Linked DNA regions of Xenopus tropicalis. The protein of the gene in region 1 interacts with the protein of each later gene in a pairwise test. Links are inferred from orthologs where the notes say so. Each region holds a gene or a part of one and is shown on either strand. Other genes may lie near its edges.

What was found.
Region 2: the proteins of stam2 (region 1) and fam189a2 interact in a two-hybrid assay, tested with the Homo sapiens proteins (2 studies listed by BioGRID and IntAct). The two-hybrid records come from large-scale screens. The link is inferred for Xenopus tropicalis from reciprocal best matches to the Homo sapiens genes STAM2 and ENTREP1.

Annotation. Positions count from the first base shown.
Region 1 is NC_030685.2:75,879,048-75,882,705, reverse strand, and holds part of stam2 (signal transducing adapter molecule 2), read right to left. Parts: intron 1,840-3,658; coding exon 1,755-1,839; intron 1,617-1,754; coding exon 1,541-1,616; intron 722-1,540; coding exon 626-721; intron 1-625.
Region 2 is NC_030677.2:129,493,971-129,497,628, reverse strand, and holds part of fam189a2 (protein FAM189A2), read right to left. Parts: intron 2,243-3,658; coding exon 2,167-2,242; intron 159-2,166; coding exon 12-158; intron 1-11. UniProt on the Homo sapiens protein: Functions as an activator of the E3 ubiquitin protein ligase ITCH in the ubiquitination of the CXCL12-activated CXCR4 receptor. Thereby, triggers CXCR4 endocytosis and desensitization, negatively regulating the CXCL12/CXCR4 signaling pathway.

The DNA.
Region 1 (3,658 bases):
GAAACGCTACTATAGTTTATATAAAATGAGCTGCTATATCAACACTAGGGCAGCCATTGAAGCTGGGAAAAAGGAGAAAAGGCACAGGCACATCGCAGATAACAGATAAGCTTTGTAGAATATAATGGGGTTTTATCTGTTATCTGCTAAGTAACCTGTGCCTTTTCTCCTGTAAATGGCTGCCCCCGTGGCGACACAGAAGCTTTATTATATAAACTATAGTAGTCTTTCCAAGGAAAACACACCAGTTGTACCAGTACAGGGCAGCATTACATTATATAGAAATTACTTTTATACACTTTCATTTTTTGGTGTTACTGTCCCTTTAATTTCAGCTCTGACCCAACTGTATTACATAAGCATATGGCACACAGAAGAGGGCACACAAGGGGCATGGCACAGGGCATGCAGGAAGCAGTACTGCTCCAATTTTAGTCCTTTAAATCCTTAAGTCCAATTTTGGAATTTTTAGTTTAATACAACCTGGAAGGCAATATACAGTACAGTATACAGAAGGCTGCTATACAGTACTAAGACTGGTCAGGTCTGACACTATCTGTATGAGGCATTCTAGTAAAACAAGAGAACTGACCAAAAACTAAGAACCAGTTACTGAAAAACTCACCTTTGAAATAACACCACGCACTTCACTAGCAAATTCTCTGGAGCAGATCTCTAAGTGAAAAGCCTTCCCACAGTTTGACACAGAGGCCCCCAACAGCTGGAAATGAAAAGCAGATTAAAAAAAAACATATATATAAAATAAATTCAAGCCCTGTAGCAACTGTTGAACTACAAGTCCCAGCAGCTCCAGCTATAAAGAGAAGTTGGAAAATGGACCCTTAAATTTGGTGTCAACTAGTCACTGCCGGTGCCTAACTAATAGGTGATTTAGGGGTTGCCTCTCCTTTAAAGGGGTAGTTCACCTTTAAATTAACTTTTAGAATGATGCAAAAATTGCTAAGACAGTCTGCAATTGGTCTTTTTATTTGTTATGGTGTTACAGTTATTTATAGTTTTTTAGCAGCTCTACAGTTTGGTATTTTAGCAGCTACAAGGTTGCTATGGTGCAATTTACCCTAGCAAACCAGGCAGTTGGGAATATAAATAGAGGAGACCCTATATATAAAGATAAGTAATTAAAAGTAACAATAACATTGTAGCCTCACAATAGTTTTTGGCAATAGTTTTTGGTTTTTGGGGGTCAGTGATCTCCATTTAAAAGCTGGAAAGAGTCAGAAGAGAAAGGCAAATAATTCAAAAACAATACAAAAAAAAATAATGAATACCAAGGAATGTGACATTCTATAACATACTAAAAGTTAGTTACTTAAAGGTGAACCACCTCTTTAATTCATGTACTAGAATATTAAAATCTATAAAGACATAATCTAAAGATGCCCGTAATCCACCTGCCTACACAATTCTAGAATATTTTTTATTTTATTTTTTGGTCAGTTCCCCTTTAAAAGTCCTTCTCTTTGTAAGTTCTTCTGTAATCACAGCCAATCAAAAAGTTGGCAAAGGGTCTTCCACTCACAGTCAGAGCCTGCAAAGCCACGTGTGGAACTTTGTGATTGACTCTCTTCATTATGGATCGGAGGCCATCTTTTGCACTGAAACGAGAAGACACAAGAAGGTACAGTCACTGTTACGGATTTAGCAAAATAAAAAAAAAAAATCAGATGCCTAATAACAGCTACTACTACAGCTAATAGGTAACAAGAAGTAGTAAAAATAATAATAATTCCTACCCATTTGGAGTGTTAACGATTTTGTCACAGATGTCCATAATAAGTCCCCAGTCTTCACTGGTGTTGTATTCATTTGTGGCCTTTTCTATAAAGTACAGAAAGATAAATATGAGTGATACAATAACACCAGCTGCACAACACTGGCATGAAATGCATCAGCACCATCTAATTCTGGCCACTAGAGGTGCTTTCCTATCATTTCCTAGAAAGGTGAAGCAAGAATTATGGCTGTAAACGTCATGGGGCTGCTGTACAGTTCTTTATAGCCCCCTAGCACAGGCAGGATAAGGTATGAAAAGTAAAAGCAAATCACTACATTATTATTACAAAATTAAATTATGTATCTTATTAAAATAGGCAAAATGTGTTTTAAATACAGGCACCTTTAACTTGGCTAATGTTGGACAGGTATATATGTATATCTATCAGTATATATATATATATATATCAGTAAAGTACTTATCAATGGAAAGCCAGTCACGGGACGGGCATTGTGCATGTAACTGCTATAAAAGGTTAGCTAAATAAATAAGCAGGGATTACTGGCACTATATATCACAAGAAATCCATGCTGCCCAACTTCATCCATGTGGCAAATAAATGGATTGGGGTGTGCTTAACGCATTGGCACCCTCAGGCAGACACAGTGCCTTGCAAAAGTATTCAGACCCTGGGCCGTTATTCTTATTTTACCAAACAAATCCCACACTGATATTTCATTATCTGATTTACACAGATAGGGGCTAAACTGCACCAGTGTGGTTCCTATAGCATCCAAATCAGATATGTGCTTTCATTTTCTAAGTGATAAAAAACCCATTGCTCATTTTTTGCTACTGGCACCTATCTCTGTAAATCAGACCTTCTGTAAACTGGACACTAGCACCCTATGGGCACCCCTGACTTGCGCCAACTGCATGTTTAAAAGGAAAACTATACTCCCAAACAATGTAGGTCTCTATAATAGTATACTGCATAAACAAACGCATATGTAAAACCCTGCTTCATCTAAATAAACTATTTTCATAAGAAGATACTTTTTTAGTAGTATGTGTTATTGGATAATCCTAAATAGAAAACTGCCATTTTGAGAATCAAGAGCCGCCCCCTGGGATCATAGGATTCACAGTGCACACAAACAAGCCAAGGCACACATACATGCTAGGCCCCATCAGCCAATGAATGGACAGAGTACTATCTTTTGCTTCCATGCTACTTCCTGTTACAGTTATATCTGTATTATTTCCTGTCAGCTGATCTCTGAGGGAGCACCGAGCCCATCACTAAAAGTATGTAATATGTGCAATATTTACTGATTTATATATGTATTCCAGTTTGGTGAGGTTCTTTAATAGGTCACTGACAAACTCTCTGTTGGTTAAGTACTCATTCTGGGGGTATAGTTTCCCTTTAAATCTTTCTGACGTTTTATCACAAAGATCGAATATGTTATTTGGTAAAATGAAAGAACTGGTCATGGGGATGAATAACTTTGCACAGGACTGGAATGTATTTTACAATATTGACCATACTTCCATAAGAACTTGGCTGGGTGCATGACACTCACACTCCCTGGCATGGGTGGTTTATCCCAGATATACTGCACTATTTATGTTCCTGGCTGATAGCAGTTCCAGCAGGTTATTCTTTAGCCTAGGTCACTTATTACTAGGTCTGCGTATCACCCATAACAAATATTTGCTTTGAAATGAACCTTCCCCCTTGGCATCCGAATAGCAAGTATCATGTAGCTAAATATACAGAATACAGAACTAGTTATTACCTGTAGAATATACGGTGTGCCTAATGATGTCAGCAGCGATGTCACTTCTGTCACAACATGCTGGAATTTGTGGACTCTAAGTGAATGTTCTCCAACTTGAAGTAACAAATTACACGCAATA
Region 2 (3,658 bases), on another chromosome or scaffold:
TGGGCTATTACCTTTTGTGGGAAGGTCAGAGATGACTGGATCACTGTGTGATCTCTTCCTGGAAGGCATGTTTGGTAAGTCACTTTCCATTGCTTCATCAGTTTGTGCACTGGCCCCCAGTACTGGTTCTACGTCAACATTACTTGTACTTGAAGGTTCTGTATTAAATGAAATGTGGAAACGAAACAGTGGCTTTTAGGGGAATGTACAAAGCAACTATTGCTCATTATTTGAATAGTTTCTAAAAAGTTTTTTTTATGGTAGTAGTACAAACATTACAATTTTGTAATTCTAGAATCCACCGCAACCTGACACCATCAAACGAGGTCCAGTTTATTTTAATAAGTGTATAAAAAGTCACCATTCTATCAAGCAGAATTTTTTGCTTCAACACTATTAAAGAAAAAGTTTTTAGGAGCATGTACCAAAAACAGGTAATTAAATTTACTACACTGCCTGGCTTTTTGCATCCAGCCACATCCCAAATATTGTATCACAGGGCCCTGACACACGGGTGTTTGTGTATGTATGTATAACTTTATTTACATGGCCCTATCAGAGACACAGCACTGTACAATTTTATGGTATAGAAAGGCAGGGAGGGCTAACATTGAAATAGGTATAAATACACAGAGATTAAGTACCATGTGGTAAAACACAAAGGAGGAGAGAAAGAAGTCTTAGCCCTGTAGAGATTACAATCTGTGTGTGTTTATTGAAATGCAAGCTAAATACATAAAAAACTTTTTTTGCGTTTATATGCTTTTTTTCCTAAATTTCTAGGATTTAATCATACATCTCATACATACATACATACTATAATCCAGGGGTGTCAAACTCAATCACATAAGGGGGCCGAAATCTAAAACACAGGCTAAGTCGTGGGCCAAATTTTTTATTAATATACTTAATAAGATACTAAGGGGTATATTTATCACAATGTGTAAAAAGTGGAGTAAGACATTACCGGTGATGTTGCTCATAGCAGCCAATAGATGTTTTGCTACTGCTACTAAATCTGATTACGGATTGGATGCCTTGGGCAACATTACTGGTAATGCTTCATTCCACTTTTTACACAGCATGATAAATATACCCCTTAGTCTTAGTTACTATGTAAGGAAAATGGAAATTGATCAGGCTGGATGGTCAGACACACTCACCAAGGGCCACATAAAACAGCCAGGTGGGCCGGATTTGGCCCCCGGGCCTTGTGTTTGACATATATGCTATAACATATACTGAATGTGCATCAAACACATAAAGATGCATCATGTGTGAGAAATAAAACAGAAATGGCTTCGAACCTCCTCCTTCTCAAATGTCAAATGCATTTCAAATTATATATTCTTCCGAGATGTGGGTTTTTTTGTATGAGAAGACTGGGATACTATGGGCACCATGATGTGACTGTGATGATTGTTTGCAAAAAAAAACTGTCTGGAGGCTGCATGTCCTATACAACACCATTAAGAGAACTGGGGATAAAGAGGCAGATTTACTAAAACTCTATCTTCTCATTTTTTCTTTTTAAAAATTAGAATTTACTTATTTTCACAAATGTCTGGCATTTACTAAAAGGTTTGAACTGAAAAAGTACATGCGTAGAAAAGTCGCGAAACTGTAACTTATTTGAATTGTCGCTAGCAGATGCACTAACTGCAAATATCCATCCATATGGATGGATAGTTGGCCATATGCCAATCCTTAATTTTATTTTTAAATTGCAGCATAGTCAACAAAATCAAATTAATCACTTTTAGCTGTCATTTGACAAGGGCTTTGTTCAGCTGAGAACTAAGGATTCAGTAAAATCCAAATATTGCAAAGTGCCGGAATTTCAGCAAAATCTATTACTCACACAGTCATTAAACCCAGGGCTTATAATGGGTGGAGTTCAACAGGTGTATCAGGGGTATGTCTAGTTGTGAATGGTAAAATAGTATATTAAGTTAAACCTATAAATTACATGTTTTATTTATGATGGGTTCTATGTACGGCCTAAGTACCTAACTTGTTATTGTTATTTCTTTGCCATTTCCAGCACACAGCCAACAGGATAATGTTGGGGACTTGGCATCCCATATCGTTCCTTATCCTGAAATGACTACTTTGTCACTTATTCTGTAGCTTATAACAGGAGAGAACTTTGATTCTATAAGTTACCTGGGTTGACCTGAGCACCATGCAGTTCTGAAGATGTGCTGACTGCTGCTGTATCTGGGATTTGTACAGCTGTCTCCTGTGCCAGAACAAGAGTAATGGAAGGCTTGAGTCACATAATTACTCTTAATTATACAGCAAAACATCAAAACAATACCCTTTATGAAAGTGCTTGAATTCCATTTTAAGCAGGAAATATAAACAAACATAACTGGCTTTATTGAATATTGTGCTATTTCTACAAACACAGGAAAGCATATTGTCCTTTATAATTTGGCTCATTAAGATGTGCTTAAAAAGACAAAATAAACGTTTTTCAGAAATACTGAATACAATGTACAATTTTACAAACAAGGCTGGTTCCTTCACAGGTTCACTGGACTTCCTGCAGGTCCCATAGTTCTCAGCAAGTCTGTTTAAAGAAACAGTAACACCAAAAAATTAAAGTGTTTTAAAGTAACTAAAATATAATGTGTTGTTGCTCCGCACTGGTAAAACTGGTGTGATTGCTACATAAAGACTGCTATAGTTTATATAAATAAGCTGCTGTGTAGCCACGGGGGCAGCCATTCAAGCTGGGTAAAAAGGAGAAAATGCACAGGTTACATAGCAGATAATAGATAAGCTCTGTAGAATATAATGGGGGTTTATCTGTTATCCTGTGCCTTTTCTATTTTGAATGGCTGCCCCCATGGCTACACAGCAGCTTATTTATATAAACAATAGTAGTCTTTCTGAGGCAAACACACCAGTTGTACCAGTGCAGGACAACAGTGCATTATAATGTAATTTTTTTTATACGCTTTCATTTTTTTTGGTATTACTGTTCCTTTAAGTGTATGATTAACGATATGTTTCGGTGTCATTCTGGGGTAGCCACTTTTATATATAACATACCTAGAACCTTTACAGTGGAATCAATGCCAAGGAACAGCTGTGGGTTAGCAGTAACATCACAGCTTTAATCAGTATCTACTTTTACCCTTAAAGGCCTAGTATTGCCATAAAGTAAACTTTTATTTTTTTTTTTACATTTAAAGTCTGTATTTGTTTATCCAGCACCTATAAACAAGCAATTAATTGGCATCAGAATATCCCACTCTTTACTTAGTTTAGGTGCTATGTAAACATATTCCCTAGTGCTCTATTTCTGCTTGAATAGCTACATAACAAATGTATTTACCACTACAGTAGTAATGTTTCTAAAGCAAACACACTTTTTTTACTGGTTTAGGGTAAGGGAAATGTGTTTTTGTCTAGAAAACGCTAGTGTGGATTTTCTGGCTGAAATCCACCCTGTTTGCGCACTAATAAGCAGATCCTATTCATACTACAGGTATGTGTCAGTATCTACATTTTCTCAGCTGGCCTAGAACTCACATTGCATGACGTTAGACTAACCGTCAAACAGTTTAAACCCACTGGTTCTTTAATACTTTAAAAAATATATGTATAGTCCTATTTCTTTTTTTAATTTGAAAATTTTTTATTGATT